3 linked regions of the Drosophila melanogaster genome follow. Changing the gene in region 1 together with any one later gene gives a genetic interaction. Each region holds a gene or a part of one and is shown in the gene's direction. Other genes may lie near its edges. The genes, in order: Rap1, RapGAP1 and dap.

The links.
Region 2: of Rap1 (region 1) and RapGAP1, changing one enhances a phenotype caused by changing the other (phenotypic enhancement), as found in Drosophila melanogaster (one study listed by BioGRID).
Region 3: of Rap1 (region 1) and dap, changing one enhances a phenotype caused by changing the other (phenotypic enhancement), as found in Drosophila melanogaster (one study listed by BioGRID).

What each region holds. Positions count from the first base shown.
Region 1 is NT_037436.4:1,858,046-1,864,286, reverse strand, and holds Rap1 (Rap1 GTPase), read left to right. Parts: upstream 1-2,047; 5' UTR 2,048-2,226; exon of another isoform or gene 2,227-2,357; intron 2,358-2,470; exon of another isoform or gene 2,471-2,610; 5' UTR 2,611-3,075; coding exon 3,076-3,630; 3' UTR 3,631-5,172; downstream 5,173-6,241. Other genes in the region: HBS1, read left to right, coding at 1-1,254; CG12024 (uncharacterized protein), read right to left, coding at 6,103-6,241. UniProt on the Drosophila melanogaster protein: Ras proteins bind GDP/GTP and possess intrinsic GTPase activity. Plays a role in photoreceptor cell determination.
Region 2 is NT_033779.5:7,575,646-7,580,902, reverse strand, and holds the start of RapGAP1 (Rap GTPase activating protein 1), read left to right. Parts: upstream 1-1,922; 5' UTR 1,923-2,343; coding exon 2,344-2,666; intron 2,667-4,295; exon of another isoform or gene 4,296-4,658; intron 4,659-4,889; exon of another isoform or gene 4,890-5,169; intron 5,170-5,257.
Region 3 is NT_033778.4:9,710,167-9,716,950, forward strand, and holds dap (dacapo), read left to right. Parts: upstream 1-2,154; 5' UTR 2,155-2,773; coding exon 2,774-2,937; intron 2,938-2,996; coding exon 2,997-3,397; intron 3,398-4,744; coding exon 4,745-4,917; 3' UTR 4,918-6,090; downstream 6,091-6,784. Other genes in the region: sqa (spaghetti-squash activator), read right to left, coding at 6,353-6,784.

The sequences.
Region 1 (6,241 bases):
GGTCACGTCGACGCCGGGAAGAGTACGCTGATGGGCCATCTACTGTACGACACCGGCAACGTTTCGCAGCGAGTGATGCACAAGCACGAGCAGGAGTCCAAGAAGCTGGGCAAGCAGAGCTTCATGTATGCCTGGGTGCTGGACGAGACGGGCGAGGAGCGGGCCCGCGGCATCACCATGGACGTGGGCCAGTCGCGTATCGAAACCAAGACCAAGATCGTCACACTGCTGGATGCTCCGGGGCACAAGGACTTCATTCCGAACATGATCTCCGGTGCCACACAGGCGGATGTTGCCCTTCTGGTGGTGGATGCTACAAGGGGAGAGTTTGAATCCGGCTTTGAGCTCGGCGGACAGACTAGAGAGCACGCCATTCTAGTGCGATCCCTGGGGGTTAACCAGCTAGGCGTGGTCATCAACAAGCTGGACACCGTTGGCTGGTCCCAGGACCGATTCACAGAGATTGTGACCAAGCTAAAGTCCTTCCTCAAACTGGCGGGCTTCAAGGATTCCGATGTGAGTTTTACGCCCTGTTCCGGACTAACCGGCGAGAACCTCACCAAGAAAGCCCAGGAACCCGCCCTGACCAACTGGTACAGTGGACGCCACCTCCTCGATGTCATTGAGAACTTCAAGATCCCCGAAAGAGCCATCGACAGACCGCTGCGAATGTCCGTGTCGGACATTTACAAGGGCACTGGCTCCGGATTCTGCATCTCGGGACGAGTGGAAACCGGAGTGCTGTGCCTGAACGACAAGGTGCTGGTGGGTGCCAGCCGGGAGCAGGCCCAAGTGAAATCCCTTACCATGAACGAATTCCCACAGACTTGCGTGTTCGCCGGCGATCAGGTCTCCGTCACCCTGCCCGCCTTGGACATCAACAACGTCACCGTGGGCTGCATCATCAGCGATCCACAAACCCCTATTCCGGTGACAACGCGATTCCAGGCCCGCATAATCGTGTTCAACGTCAAGGTGCCCATTACCATGGGCTTCCCCGTGCTGCTGCACCACCAATCCCTAATAGAGCCCGCCGTGGTCTGCAAGCTGACCGCATCGATTCACAAGAGCACCGGCGAGGTGGTCAAGAAGAAGCCGCGTTGCCTGGGCAACAACTCGTGTGCCCTAGTGGAACTGGAAACCAGCAGACCCATCTGCATCGAGCGGTATGCGGACTTCAAGGAGCTGGGACGCGTGATGCTTCGCGTGGCGGGAGTCACCATTGCCGCCGGAATGGTCACCAAGATCCGCTAGGTCGATGACCGCGCTGGATTTTGTACGAAATTTTAGTTAGATATTAACTTTTGTTGATTTCCTAAATATACATAGTTTATATGAATTGATTAAATCGAAAAGACGCTGAAGCATTGGAAGAGATTTCGGTCTGACCATTTTAGCGGTATCTTAAAGTGGAGTGTGTTTTTCATGGAATTAATCACTTTAAGAAATTATTATATTTATTATCATTGAATTAATCATAAGGAATATAATTACAATTTATACATAAATTGCAATATCACGTTTTTGGAATATTATGACCCCTACAATAATATTCCAAAAACGTGATATTGCAATTTTTGTATAAATTGTAATTATTTTCCTTATGATAAATTCTATGATTCAAAACTGTATCTCGAAAATGTGAATATGCGGCTGACTAAAATTCTGAATGCGAATCATATTGCTGATTCATGAAACAATCAAGCATTAGAATTTTTTCTTAAACTATCGGCAACACAGCTTATATATTATTTGCAAATTATGCTTAAAAAATAAAATAGGAATACCATAAAATATCACTTACTGTAGAAAACAATTTCAATATGAAATCGTATTAACAAAATTAAAATTAAAAAAAAATATATAGGGAAAATAACAATTTAAATATTTCCAAAATTTGATGTGCTAATATAAATTTAAAAGAATCAAATATATTTCGAATATAAATTTTATAGTTTATTTTTAAAATTTACAGCAATGCTTTAAAAGTGTCATCGCTAAGCCATTGCGATAGTCGTGCGTAGCCCTCGGCCTGCGAGTGCCGATAGTGCCATCGATGCTTTGGCAGCCCTAGTCTTTGAGTGTTCGCTGTTCGCTGAGGGCGAAAAAGTAAAGAAATTACAAGGCAAACTAGTGTTAAATTAAAAGTGAAGCGATTCGCGAGCGGCGACAGGTGAAGCGGTCCCCAAGGAGCAAGCAGTTGGCGGCAGCGAGTGAAAAGCATAGGTAAAACTCCGCCCAGAGTTGCCCTGCCGCCCGACATGCGGGTGCATTTGCGTGGTTCAGTTGTTTAGTGGCCGTTCGGTAGGCCGATGTACGCACATGGGTGCCCAGTGTGCAATTTAAGTGCATTTTAAGTGAGAGAGCTGAGTGAAATTTAAGGGAATCTCCGGCTTGAGGCGTTGCAGTGGGGCGCTGCGTTCGGTGCGGCCGCCTGGCAACCCTGAAAATGAATCATTAGAGCGAGAACGAGAACGAGAGAGTTGTGAAGAAGAAAAGAGGGAGTGCAGTCAGTTCTCAGCATACCAAAAAACGCAAACCAAAAAGACTCGCAAAGAATTTAGCGTTTATTGTGTCTAAAAAGCGCCTTTCTTCTTACTCCCCCCACAGTGTGCTCTCGGTAGCAGTGACGGCCGTCTCGAGGAACAGTCAAGCCAGGATATTTCCGCTCAAAAAAGCAACAATTGAACGCACGCAACTCGGCGGAAGGAGCGAGCGAGAGAGGGAGCACAAACACCATCACACATTCACACACACTAACACACACACACTCACGCAGTCACTTACACGGCACAAAGGTTATCAACAGCAAAAGCAACAACAACAAACAATTTACTTTAAATATAAAACATATATTAACTAATAAGCAAGAGCAACAAAAAAAAACAAAAACAAAAAACAACTGCAACCGACAAGCAATCGCCGAACAACGCCTAAAAACAAGTGATTTTCGAGGGAGAGCCACCTGGAAAGTGAACCCACCTACCTGGCCTACCTGCATTTTGGGTCTCTTCCCTAGAATTTAGCACAAAACAAGAGATATACGAAGGATATACAAACAGCACAGCAGCCAGCATGCGTGAGTACAAAATCGTGGTCCTTGGAAGCGGCGGCGTGGGCAAATCCGCGCTGACAGTCCAGTTTGTCCAGTGCATCTTCGTGGAGAAGTACGATCCCACCATCGAGGACAGTTACAGGAAGCAGGTGGAGGTGGACGGACAGCAGTGCATGCTGGAGATCCTGGACACGGCGGGTACGGAGCAGTTCACGGCCATGCGGGATTTGTACATGAAGAACGGCCAGGGATTCGTGCTGGTCTACTCGATCACGGCGCAATCGACGTTTAACGATCTGCAGGACCTGCGCGAGCAGATACTCCGGGTGAAGGACACGGACGATGTGCCCATGGTGCTCGTGGGCAACAAGTGCGACCTCGAAGAGGAGCGCGTCGTCGGCAAGGAGCTGGGCAAGAACCTGGCCACCCAGTTCAACTGCGCCTTCATGGAGACCTCAGCCAAAGCCAAAGTGAATGTGAACGATATTTTCTACGACCTGGTCCGGCAGATCAACAAGAAGTCGCCCGAGAAGAAACAGAAGAAGCCGAAAAAGTCCCTATGTGTTCTGCTATAAGACTTCCAAAAACCACCAAAACTAAAAAAACAAAAAAAAAAATATATAACAGAGGAGGAGGAGAGAGGAGCAAAAGTATAAGCGTAAAGTAAAGAATTTTCAAATTTTTTTCGTTCTCGTTTCGTTTTGGATCCGATGGCAATTGTCGAATTGAAATAACCAATCTACTATATACAAGCAAAACTTAAACTGACAAATGTTTTTAACTGTTTCAAGTTTTTGTAATTATTACCATTTACTACTATTATGATTGTACTATTTTTCGCTGATTAACCATTAATTCATATGGGGAATTATTATATATATATATCTACATATTTAAATATATTTGTCGTTCGTTTTTGAGCCGTTTTTTAAATTATGCAACAAGTGAAACATTCGTAAACTAAAACATTCGTATTTATTGATTCTTTTCGATTGTACTCTACACATCTACAACTACAACTACTTATACACGCGAAAGCCCAACCAACAACAAGTATATCTTTAAATAGAACCGAAAACAACATTCGAAACACAAATCAAATTAAGCTAAACTAAATTGTACGCCTAAAAGATAAAGATAACAAATTCCACGAGAGAAATGAGCAAATAAATCGAGAAAGGAAATGAATCATGAATAAGGAACATATTTTATAAAAATATTGTATGCAAATGATGTCAAAATGTTGCAAACAACCAGAAGTAATGAGCCCCCTCCCCCTTAGAAATTAGTTTAAAACAAATTTACAATTAATTGTTTACCACGATCAGTTGCATCAAATCTGAACCCCCCCCCCCAAACACACACATACCAGCCACATCCCACACACACACACACACATTCGCAACCAGAACTCACACACACAAACACACCTACACATTTCCGGCGCGCTCTCAGAGAGCGAAAAAGCTACACGAAAACGGAAGCGGAATCGAGACAAGAGGCTCCTGCGGCCAAGGCTCATTTCCGCTTCCTGGTAAAAAGAAGAGGAGCAGGAAGTGCAGAGAGAGCCACAAATTCTAGAATATTTAATACATAAGAAATGGTTTAACACAAACTAAACTGTCGTGTCAATCCCAAAATGAAAAGAAACCTAAAAACGAAGTAATTTACAAATATTTCATAATAAACATTGCATAAACTTCGCGTACGAGTAGTAACCAATATGCCCTTAAATCAAAGTCTAAACACAGCCAACAACCAACATTAAAAGTAAACTAAATAAAACCTAAGCCCAAGCGTATATATTAAATATATGATAAAGATACAAATCATTTTTGAACATAATAAACAACAAACAAACCAACCGTTACAATAACATAATGTAATAATGAGCGTGTGAAAAATGTAATTGAAAAACCATTTTTTCGAACTTGTTTCCCTACTGGTCGCGTTTTTGGGACCCCACACAGAGCCTCTGATCTCAGAATCCTGGCAGTCCCGAATTCGCGACGCAGTAGGTCGACATGATCGAGCATCTTTTAATTATTAATAAATGTATTATGTTTATAAAAAATTAAAAAGGAAATGCAAAAACAAAATAAAAATTAAATAAATTCATTTGTGGAGCGTATGCCTTATTCTTAGCATAGTTCATTCAGAAGTTAAAGACAAGACGATTGCATTGAAGTTTTGAAATATCTGTATTTGATACTTGGAATAGTTATATAAGGTTGTTATTCAAATATTTATACATATACAATTACAATCAAATAGCTCGTCTTTATAATTATAATATTCTGCTAGTTTATAGCACGCATGTTAATCCAGCGTAAGATCTGCGATAGGATCGATTCGGAGTTAAGTTGGGGCGTAGGAGTAGTAAAACCGCATTGTATCCACAGCTGATATGGTATGCAAGTTCCGAGAGATTCGCGGGTTGAGATATACAATCATAATGCATGCTTTTCGTAGAAGCCGGCGAATCGCTCGCCAGCAGTTAAAATGTAGAAAGTGAATTTTAAGACAGAGTTACGTGGTAGTTTCTATTACTGTACAATAAGTGGCTCGAGTTCCGCTTCATGACTAGGTTTTGGGCTAAGCAAAGTGCTATACTGGGGGACTCGCCTCCGATTCCTGGTGTGATGCTTGTTAATTAACGCTTTTTATAATCAGTCGAACGTGTGAGTGAGTGTGGCTTTCTAGCAATCTCTAGCAATCGCGGCTTAAAAGAGGCCGCCTTAGTATCGATTACAAATTATGCATAAAACTTAACTACGCTAATTTGGCAACAACGAAAGGGTAAACAAAACGTATACAAACAAGGAATATATGTATGGGTATATGGGGGTATTGCACGGTAGGGTAAAAATTGCACTTAAGGTTAAAACTAGGGTAATACCATCGCATCTTTGTGTCGAGATTGGGATAGGAGATTTCAGATTTCGTTCTTGCCCGGAGATTACTTTGGACTGGGGAACTGGGGAGATTACTAGCGCACGTGATCGTCACGTTATGGCCGTTGAGATTAGATAACAAAACGATCCGCTTCACTTGCGCAGCTGCAGTTGACCCTGCTGCTGGCTGGACTGGCTCGCTTGCTGCTGATCACGCTGCTGGTGGTGGTGATCCTCGTCGTCGCTGGGCTCTTCGCGCAGCGGCAAGGAGTCTATCTGCTTGGCCGTGGTC
Region 2 (5,257 bases), on another chromosome or scaffold:
TTTTAAGAACACATAGAAAAGCCAAGAGTTTTTTCCAGTGCAGTTATCCGAGACTGCGGGCAGTGCAGTTTTAGTTTTTTTTTCTACTCTGCGGTCAGTTTGCTGTCTTCTTTCGATTGGCACTGAAGCGGAGCATGCGATTTCCGCTTTAATGTAATTTTGACAACGCACACACGATGCTCGAGTGGTCATGGGGGATGGGGGCGGTGCTGGGGGGTTGATGTAGGGGGGCGGTTGCGATTGAGTATCGTCATCAAGGAAATGTCATGATAAATCTTACTCGACTTTCCCGTGGCCGAAACCGTTACAGTAGCAACTGCGAATTCGATTTCGATTTGGGTTTTCGATTTCACTTTAAATTGGTTTTGATACTCTGTAATTAGGAGATCGCGATAGGGGGAAAATTAAACATTAAACACTTATTAAGTCACATGAATTTTTGAAATGCATCAAAAGGCATTAAAACAGATAAGAAGTATTTCGACAAAATAGAAATGCCATTTTCTATTTTGAATGCAGGCAGATGCATTTTACTAAAAAGAGTATCTTGAAGCTACAACGACTTGATTTCTTTTTTATAATTTTCATATTTACAGCTCTCTTATCGAGCGATTTGTTTTGCATGTTCCATTTATCTGATTTGCTGGATATTCCATTACCTGTTAACTCGATTGCAGCGGCATTTAGCAGTTGTGGAACCACTTTTCGACGCCACTGTCTTCATCCCCCCCATCGACTTTAATGCACTTATTCTCCGTCCGTTTTTTGTGCATATTGCGACGCCCTGAAGTCTGTTTCCTTATCACCCTCTTTTCGAGAACCATTAAAGTTCTTGGTGGTGACCCGCAGCAGAATCGTAAACCCAGCTTGACTCATTGATGCATCGATGAGACATTTATATTTTCCAGTTGTCCCCACACTACTTTTTCCTATTCCAAGTGCCATAGAAATGAGGAAAATCTGAGTAAAATCGTCGCTTATTATGCGCAAATCAATTTCCCAGCACCTGAAAATGTCAAACGAAGGTGTAAGAATCAGATAAGAGAAAATCTTGATGGATTGTTTAATTAATTAACCAAAGTCTAAATGGTGATTGATTGGAGCATTGAACTAGACAATGGTTTCTATTCATGGGGCGTGTTAAAGGGGGCGGTGCTGAAAACCCTGAGATATCCGATAGCTGGAAATGGTAAATAAAAATAAATAAAGACGTCTCTATATGTACGGATTACACTTAATTTGTATATCGGCAGCAATAAAATGAAAACGAGCTGACTTAGCGGAATCCCAGCTCGGTCATTTATCACCAGCACAGTAAAACTGAAATACAATCCAAAACTAGTAAAAACGTTTAACTGGCGCTTAAGAATGGAATATACCTTTTATATTTATAAAAGAGTACAATATCCACTTCTTTAGTGGTTTCTAAATTAAACCTAAAAAATGTAAATTTAATTTTTAATAAAACACATTAACCCCAAAAAGGTGAGAATATTTATTATTTATAGTACATTGTTTGAATTAAGTCCTCACATGATTAGTGAGAGGTTTGGTTTTATCTTTTATATGTTAATTGCGCTGTTATGTTACTGTTATTGCATTGTATTGATTCATCGCTTCTAAATAAATAAATATATAAAAAAAAAAACATTGTTTGAACAGATTTTTGATGCTTATATGATCGCTTTAAGTACATATATTCCCAATTAAGATCAGAAGTACCCGGTATGTTTAAAATAATGAAATCGCAAGAAATATAAGTAAATTCAGAAAAAAACACTATGCAATAAAACGTGCGAAGTTATAAAAACAATGGAAATGGAAAGAGAGGGAGAGCAAAAACAAGCGAGGGAGAACGCTCCAGATAATGGAGCTCGGTTCTAAAAAGTCGGTTCTTGGGGCTCTGTTCCGATTCTTTGTTGCGGTCAGTCGGAAAATCGAAGGCGGCGCGACGCGACATCATATCGAAACCCCAACGAAACGCGATTTATGCAACGAACGAATTCTAATTTATGCAAAGAAAAAAAAAATGTAGACATAAATTAATTTTATAACTATAGTCACATTGTGTAATGAGTGAATATAATAAATCTAAGTGTAAGCCCGGAGTAGAAATGATAAGAGTACCAATTCGCAGTGAAAAATATAAATTAAAAATATAATATATTCTACAATCTATATGGAAAGTTATAAACGTATATATTTCAATTAACTTAATAAATTCATTATAATAAAACAAACTAATAAAAAACACATGCAATTACTAGAGTACATAGTACATATTCTGTTAGTACATATTCTCAAGAGTAACCTTTCAAAATTTAGTAGATTTAGGCGATAAAAATGAGTTCCTACAGGACATTGGTGGATCATGGCCATCCGATTATAGTGGGAAGCAGTGAAATATCGCTGGCCCCGAGTTCGGCAGCCAGTTCGCCCAAGCCCCTACACCGGATGATCAAGTACTGGCGCAACAGTTCCGGAAAAATTCCGGGTCTCCGCAAAAGCGAGAGTTTCGCCGAGTATCGTCGCCATTCATCCAACTCGGCCACAATTTCGGGAGGATCAGGGGGCAGATCGAGCACTTCGAGTGCCAGGCAATTGCAATACCAGCGACTGGAGATGGAAAGCTGCGAGAATATAGATATGCTGACAGAACCACTAAGGTAAGTGCACTTAATGATAAAAACTAGTTTTTTTTTTCAATTTATTCATTAATAAATTACTCATTTTTATGAGTGCCAAGATATTAATGTGGTTAATCGTTTAGAATCAGAGCATCAGGTGGTCAAGAATTTAAAATTTGTTTGTGCCTAGCATTTGAAAGGTTTTAAAATGATTTTACCCATTTATTACCTACACATCGTAAACAAATCAATTTTATTTCTTTCTCTTGTAAATCACTTCCATGGAGACCGAGATAAATGTTGAATGACCAAATATATGCATGCATTCCATACCTGTTTATATAGAAACTACCAAAGAAGTGGCATCCATTGTCTTGCGGTTCACTTTGATGTGTAACCCCAAAAATGTGGGGCATGCAACAGTTGGTTATCTGTTTTCGGGTTTTCGAAACGCCCCTCGCAGCTGCGGTTTATCGTGTGGTTATCAGCTGTTCGTTATCAGCCGCCAACGAAAACATCGGCAAGCATGTGGATGATAAAAACGAGGGAACAAGTGCAACACGCCGACGTCATTTTGTGGATTGTGGAAACAGTTCGCGGGAGAACTGCATTTTTTGCATTTACAAATACAAGTCGAAAGTTTGTGAACACTTTTCAAAGTGATTCTTTTTCCACAAATTGTTAGATTTGGTGTACAAGACAAAAAACAATGTTTAGTCAACAAAAGTTGACGGAAAATTCTTTTTTATAACTACTATAACATACATACATACATATTCAATTTCGTATTCTGTAATACTTATTCGGGTTGACATCAGAAATCCAGAAAAATGGTATATCCAAATTGTGAAAATACTTTCTCTCGAAAAAGGCTCATGAAAGAACGTGTTCTGGAATAACACCACTTTCCAAGGGGGCGAACGCCGACTGTTTTTGGCTCGTGCCTCTGTTTACTTGTGTATTGGTGTCCCACGCCGGTTCCGGTTATTCGGTTTGTTTTGGTTATCTCTCGGTGGAGGGAAATCATTGCCTTCTGCATACTTTTGGGGTACACTGTGCAAATAATTAACTGGCAACTGCATTGCCGGCTTCTTTGAATTGCATTGTTTTCCAAACTGTTTACTTTGGCTAATGCGGGCAGCTCCGCTCTCCCCTGGCAACAACTCTTTCTGTTTGCCTAAACTGCGCGCATTTGGAATGTAAATAAATGTAAATAAACAAGAATTTCGCCCCCATAAAGGCAACAAAAGCAGTGAGAGCAGAACAACAACAAACTCGCTCTCTCGCCTTAACAAAAATGCAACGTGCACGTACAGTTAAGGTCGCAGCAATAGCACGGATTTTTATAAAATTATCTGCTCTTTAATATGAATTAATGCATATCTGTATCATCACATGTTTTACATGTTATTTCATATATCATTCCACTCTTCTTTGTCTGCGCTGCATTAAATAATTTTTATCTGTCTAAGCTTCATAATATATGTGTACATAAATAAAATCTCCATAACTGGATCCACAGCCACTATTATTTTGGCCCCCACTGTGGAGTTTGTGGATCGCATTCGCCAGTGGAACCTGAAATCTGAGCTTCGTGCGCAACGATGTTGTTCGTCGCTCGCATTCGTGTTCGTTTGGGGCCAGACCCGCAGCTTTTCTGCTTTGCGACTCAGAGTCGATTTGTGAACCAACTCGTGTGGGCGTCCGAGCCAGCGAGTGTCCGACTAAGTGTGTGCGTGTGCGAGGACGACCGGGCGTGTGTGTGAGCGTTGTCGCGCGTCTGCGTCGCGAAATCCTGATATCGGGAATCGGAACAGGAATCGTAATATATTTCGGGTCTGCGGTCCAGACGCTGATGCGTCTTCTTCATTAGCTGTTCGAAAAGTAACGGTAGAACGCAAAGCAGTTGCAAATCGACAGCAACAGAAGACGGCGAGAAGCGCCACGAATGGAAAAATCAAAACAAACAAGAAAATTGTTAAAAAAGAAGAGCAAACAACAAACGAATACTCGAATATGTGAAAGTGCTAGGTAATCAACCAAAAAAATTATAAAATTAATATAACCAATTAAGGCAATGATGATTTGTGGTTTTGAATTCTTGAAAAAAGTGAACAAAAACAAATCATGCTAAGCATAACACGCAAACTTTCTTCAACAATTAATTTGCAATTGATCCCACTGAGGCGGTTTCCTAAACAGCCTAAACAAAAGAAAGAAAACGAAAGCAATAAATAGACAAACAATAAGCAAAATGTTTGACGAACTTTTAATTGAACGTGTGTGCTTGAATAACAACAAATTGAAATCGCATTTGTTGGCCTTATCAAAAAATTAGAAGCGAAAGTGGCAAAGGTGTCTTAATGGGCAAGACAAATAGAAATCAAAATAAGTTTGCCAAAAAAAAAAAACAGCTGCATAAATACGCGCACGTAGTTAAAAGTGAAATTTTTAAACAAAAATCGTTGGCTGAAATTGAAATGTAACGAGCAAAGAATCCAAAAGCAGAAGCGAAGAAAGTGTTGAAACCAAGTGAAATTGTGTGCGTAATATTTTGTGCAATTCAATTACGAAAATTCCATCCAATAACAAGTGCATGAAATGACGGAATAACATAATCAGCACAGACA
Region 3 (6,784 bases), on another chromosome or scaffold:
GCACCCCCACCGGAACACGTGGCGGATCGGACTAGGTTCTTGGCTATGAGTTGCCATATAGAGTGGGATATCTCTGACCTCCTCCTGGGGTGGAATGGGCTGGCTCGATTGTCCGCTGTGTGCTGAGGCGATAAGACGCGTTGCATTCGAAATGAGTGTAACGTATATTTTATACGAGACAAGGCAGGACTGGGCTTTGTTGAGGTTTTAGTAGATACGAGATAATGTTCTACCGACCGCGCGACCTTTGACTAGGAAACACTGATGATATTTGCCTAGCCCTTATCTACTCGGGGGGGGGGGGGGGGGGCCATAGTTGAGTGCATATTAGGGAATTCGGATAAGATCCAATTCGATCCTACCAGCATTAAGGACTGCAATCAAGTGAATACCTTGAGTGCCATCCAATGCCCGCACGTTCCACGACAATCCTTTAGGATCTGCCCTCATAAGCGGGACACTTGAGAACCGCTTTTCCACCTCTTTTCTCAGCCTTTTTTTTTTTTGTTTTTCCGCGTGTGTTGACACAACCCATATAAAGCCAGGATATCCTGCTCGGGAGGAAATTACTTAAAGGGATCACGAACTCTTCCCCTTTCGAAAAACTCCTTCTTGAGTTGTTTATGTTTTCAGGCATGACTGCCGCCGAACGCCAGTAGAATTCTCAAATTTGTTATAAAGTGTGTAAATTCACGTTGCTTTTCTTTTTGAGGGAGGGTGTGTCCCATAAACAGAAAACCGAACCACAAGGGATCGGATCTTATGGGAGTGGAAAGGAACGAATTATGGATGGATGATGATGCTGCCTAATCGAACGTTCGTCAAACGATCTCTGCCTTTTTTGGGGTGATTGCACTCCGTTTTTTCTTGTTTTTTTTTTTCTCGGGTTTTTGTGTGGAAAGCCGATGGGTTTTCCCATTATTTCGTCGAGTGCAAAGGACAAAGCAAATGATGTCTTTAGTCTACGAATCTGACTTCCAAGGCTTTGTCCCAATTCTTTCCTTCTTATTTAATTGGATTTGTTCAAACAATATAAATCTCGTTTTATTGCCTTTGGTAGTGTAATTTAATTTTTTACGATTTTGCACACGAAAGGAAAAAAACTTTATGAAAATGCAGCACGAAATGAGCAGAAAACTTGCGTTTCACAAAGTGAACCATAACGGAAATTTGAAATACCCAGTGCTATGCAAACACCACAAGGAAATTCGAACTAGACGTGCACATTATTTTACATACATACATACATACATCGTACAAATGTATATTTGGTGGACCAGTGCCCCACAATGCAAGCGCGATTTTCCCCTTGGCAACACGAGGAAAGTGAAAAGAATTGGTGCCCCAAATGCCCCCTGCCACTTCCCTCCGACGACTAAAAATCCAGTTTGAGGCCAAACAAACCAAAACCATAACATCGTTTTTTCGTATCTTCCCATCGCAATCGCAACTAAAAGTACAGCTCCACCGATGCAACAACAACCAAGAAGGCAGCGAACAGAACACACGGATGGAAATGGCAGGGATGGGTAGATGGCGTGCGAGAGAGTGGGAGACATATGGTGAGAGAGAGAGAGGTTGTGGAAGTTGTGACGACTTTCTTGATACGCTCTATGAAGGAACCTTGGACAGTTTAAAATATAATTAAATTGGTTATTTCAAAAACATTAAAAATAAAATCTGGTTGAATACTGTTTACAAATGAACTATGGGCTTATGAGCTGTGAATATTATTTGACAGGAAATAATGAAAATAATGATAATAATAATAATAATAATAATAATGAATACGTATTATATATTGTACTATATGATGATTCCAACAATCAATAATTATATTAAAGCTCATAATATCAAAACTTTTAAACTCAGATGCCTTAGTTAAATTTTGTTAGGAAACTTTTATTTTTCTGAGTATTTTTTATACGTTTGCTATATAAGTTTAAAGAACAATTCAAAGGAAGTGCATTGCTCTTTCGATATGATTAACATTAAAAGCGCATTCTTTTTCCCTATCTCTTTCGCTCCTGCTGCTTTTCCGATCTTTTCGAATTCGAGGGTTGCTACAGAGAGAGCGTGAACCGCTCTGAATTTCCAGTTGGCAACGCCTCTGGTGGTTGTTTGACGTTTGCTTTTGCCCAGTGTTTTATTTATCTTTTATTCGTTTCTCCGAGTTCGTCGAGAGAGGTTCGCTTCGATCGGTAGCGCTATATTTAAAAATCTAGTGCGCAGTGCGCTCATAGCCGAAAAGGTTAACAAACATCGCTGTAAAAACGACTTCAAGTTGTAAAGACAAATATAATACAAAGGTGCTGCCATTGGCAGCTAACTCATACAAAAACTCCAACGAGACCCGCAAACGTTTCGTTTTGTGAGTCGACTAGCAGTGCAGTGTGTTCGAATCGCCATTCAAAGATAGTGACCAAGTGCTATTGGACCAAGGCATTTGTTTATAATTATTTTTATAAACAATTGCAGCGTGAAATTTCACTTTTGAACGCAGCAAGACGTAAAATAAGCTGCAGCACAACGCACACACAGAACACTCGCTCTCCCTCTCACATACACACACGCTCGCGTGTGGAGACCGTGATTTGTATTCGTGTGGAGACTGCCTCTCTCTCTTTTGGGGCTGTCTGAACACAAAGTTTTGGCGCCAAAAGTTTGACAGTTCGCTTTGGCGTGTAATTCGCAAACAAGTGGCAAGAAAAGTGCGTCTCAAAACAGAGTAGAAAACACTAGGGGATCCCAAAAAAATATATATTGACTCAACATGGTCAGTGCCCGAGTCCTGAATCCTGTGATGATCAGTGAGTTCTGCAAGATGAGCAGCAGCCCGGCGGTGAGTCGCAATCTGGCATGCGGTCGTCAGTTGAATCGCATAAAGCGTGACCTCTTCGGTAGCTCCAAATCCGCCGAGGGTACAGCCAACAAAACGTGAGTTTCTATAATAACAGTTGGATTTTGACCAATAGCTAACAATATATCCTCTTTAGACCCTTTAATTCCGAACTGGAGCGCCATCAAGAACTGGCCACGCAAAAATGGGGCTTTGACTTCCGCGCCGGCTGCCCTTTAGCTGAAAAATCACCCTACATTTGGGAGCGCGTCAGCTTCCAGGAGTCGAGCTTCGCCCCAGAGATGTACACCCTAACACGGGCCGCCCACGTACGCCCTTCCGCGGATGCAAGTCCTAGCGACATGGACATTTTGGTCAACGAGCGCTCAGAACGGGAGAACTTTGGCTCCAATCTGGTCAATTCCTCGCTAGAGTCGAACACGGATAATGAATCTTGTTACGACTCCCAGGACGAGTCGCTGGCAATGCGGCTTAGCTCCTCCAGCACGACAAGCACATCCTCCATAGTCCTGCGCAAGAGACAGCCAAAAATCACAGGTGAGTTTTGGGGGATGTTCTACACCATTTTGATCAGTAGAGCTTGACGGTTCCCAGGGTCAGGCTTCATTTCACTTCGATAGACGTTACAAAGTGTTTTCCCATAGCTTTCCTTTTATTCCCTGTTTATTTTCGGTTCTCAGGAGGAAGTTGAGGGTGTTTTTTTTTTTTTTTTAACTTATCAGGCTTGTTTTGTAATCGGACTGATACGATATTATTTTTCAAAATTATCTGTAGAGTAGAGAGTATTATCTAAAAATTTCCGAATATAGTGCTCGAGATATAAAAGTAGATTCGTGCTCTTTGTTTTGCAAACTCGATGAAAACGATTTTCATCAATGATTTTATGCCAAACCAATATTTTGTGCAGGATTTTGTACTTACAATACTAAACTCCATAAGGGGTTGTTTGATTGGTTTTAAGTCCACTCCTTCGCATTTATTGTTTATATTCACGTTTTAGTTGTGGGCGTTTTTCGTGAAACTTAGACCCAAATTATAGCAATTAGCCAATGCTTTGTGGGAGATTTATTTTCGTCCAGAAGGGTAAGTCAAAGCTGACTGCAGCTGTTTCAGCTCCTCATCTCCCTAAACCGAATGATTCTCTTCTGATCCTCCACAACGCGGGGGTTGGTTTCCAGATCGATAGCATGCGGGCTGGCTGGCTGCATCTATAAATGCCAACAGCTGTGACTCCGCTTTGTCTATGGCCTGACCTCATTATAGAAAACGGGAGAGGGGTCTGGGGATCGGCTTTCAATGCACCACCATCCAGAGTCCATGGTCTTATCAAACCTCCCTTTGATTGCTTTGTACTGAGCGTTTTTTATAAATGCCACTAGCACATGCATGTGTAATTATAATCATAAAAAAATTGTGTCTGTTCGGAACATAATAAATGCACCCGCATCGGGTGGTCAGTAGGGAAGCCTTTGAATCCCCCAACGCCTCAACTCGCTTTACTTAAAGTGCACTTTTTGCTGCTTTGGCCAGTAAGCTAGAGCTCATAATTTATGCAGTTATGTAGCACCACCACTCTTGCTTTCACCGGACTACCTGAAAACCGGCTAAAGACCGACTGTCTGGCTGCCGTCTGGCATTTATTTGCTACCCCTGTGCGGATCTGCAACCCTCTGGTAGGGAAGTGCTGCCGTCCACGTGCCACAATCTGGGAATCTACCCGAAACCGAAATCAAAATGTGCAAAAACAGAAAAACAGGCGGCGCCTGCTGTTTAGGGATCAGTGACTTGTGAACAGGGGCAACCGGAAATGCAGCAGCTGACTTTGATTTGGCAATTCCACCTAACACGTATTAATAACACTCGTTTTCCTTCCTTTGTTTACAGAATTCATGAAGGAGCGCAAACGTCTGGCCCAGGCACCCAAGAAACTATCGCCCGCAAAGCGCATGCGCACCAGTTCTCCCAGTTCGTCCGCCACTTCCAGCTCCAGCTCCAGCGGTGGATTTGGGTTGGGGGCACACTTTGGGGCGATGTTGAAGCGGCCGCGCCACAACTAATGCTCCAGATTCGCTGGCCAACCCACCGAATTGCAATTTGTAATTTTATTTTTTACAAGCCACTGCGATTGTGTAGTATTTCCTAATTTTTTATTACGAACCTTTTTATGCAGTGCAAGGGCGACAGTTGCGAATATTAATCGTTAGTCTTCAACTACTCGTAACCAGTAATTAGTTGTAAGTCAACCAGTAAGCTCGAGCTAAATGAAACTTTTTAGATTTCTCTAGTGAGAAATGCCATAAACTAAGTGATTAGTTCTTAACAACAAACAACTATTGAACAAGAAGAGAGAGACCGCAAGCTAAATGGAATTAGTCTTAACTATCTTGAAGCCAACCGAAATTTAACCTTTATAACGATGGAATACTAACTTTACATAACTTTGTGAAATCCTTGCAAATTTCGCCGGCAACTTTTGCATTTGAAATTTGCCGGGTGAACAAAACTCATCCTTTCTCTGCCCTGCCACTTCATCCAAGTACTGAAACTGAGGGGAGAGTAGAATTGAGTTTTGTCTTGCATATTAAGGGCGCCAAAACGATGCCCCAATAAGCCGCATTTCGGCTCATTGCTGCTTTGTTTTTGCGACCTACTAACATTGTAACCAATTCGACCAGTGGAAAACAAAAAAAAAAAAGAGGAATGCCTTTGAATTAACTTCGTCAATTTCTGCACGTTTGGATGCCTTATTTATATGAATGCCGCCGAATGGACACAAATTGTCGCGCTCTCATTTCTTAACCAGTGCTAAAAATGTCTTTTATGATTTGCTATGATCTCTGGGCAAATTATGAAAACAATTTTGCCTGAAACTATCATGTACAAAAACTAGATTATTATACATACTATACACATAGGCAGAGCCTATTCTTCATAACACTTATACAAAGCATTAATTTGTAAGGCCTAACTAAGAACAAATCCAAAGTATTCTCCTAATATTTATATGTATAGACACTCTATGTATAATTAAACCATATTCAACTCATACATCAATAAACAAAACAAAAACAACGCGATTGTCCTGTTTCAAAATTACCAACACATCCGCATTACTTTGGTTGTAGACGTAGCAGTAAAATGTAGTTTACTAAAACAATTTTGTACATTTTATAAGTTAATATTTGTTTTTCTGCAATAAATTGTTTTTGATTTTCTAGTTGGTAGTACATAAATCGCGTTTTTAATTTTTAATTTCATTTTTATAAAATATCGTGGGATGCCAACAAAATTCAATCCCGCGTCAATAGAAACGAATCATTGCTTCAGTTTTATTCAATAAATTAATTTGATTTATTGCTTACATCAAGTACATAAATATTAATTTGTTCCATTCGACGCTTTGTAGATTTACCTATGTGCCAATTAGTTGATCTGTACTCTACATACAAATATATATATCGCATATATACAGAGGGCTGTGGATATGGGCACCTACTTGCCCGCCGCCTTCTCCTCCAGCTGGGCTTGAATGTGGCGTACGTTGTGGCCGCCGCCATTGGGGTTGTGGCGCTGGAAGAAGGCGTTGATGGAGCTCATGGAGCGGTACTCCAGATTGTCGCTGACCCGCCAGTCCACGCTGATGCTCTGGTGACGACCCACCGGATTGCGGATGCGGGTCTCGTTGTATTTCTCCAACAAATGCAGCAGGCAATCCTTGGTGGTGTTGGCCGCCTCCTCCAGATTCACGGTTTGATGAGTGTCCGGCAGCCCAACGGGCACATCGCGACTCATCTGATTTATCCTGAACTTGGCTCGACGACTGCTGGCCGATTCGTTGCTGGCGCTGGTGGTAATTGGATTGCTGGCGCCGGTGGAGCTTGGGTTGCTGGCGCTGGTCGAGATTGAGTTGCTGGCGTTGGAGGC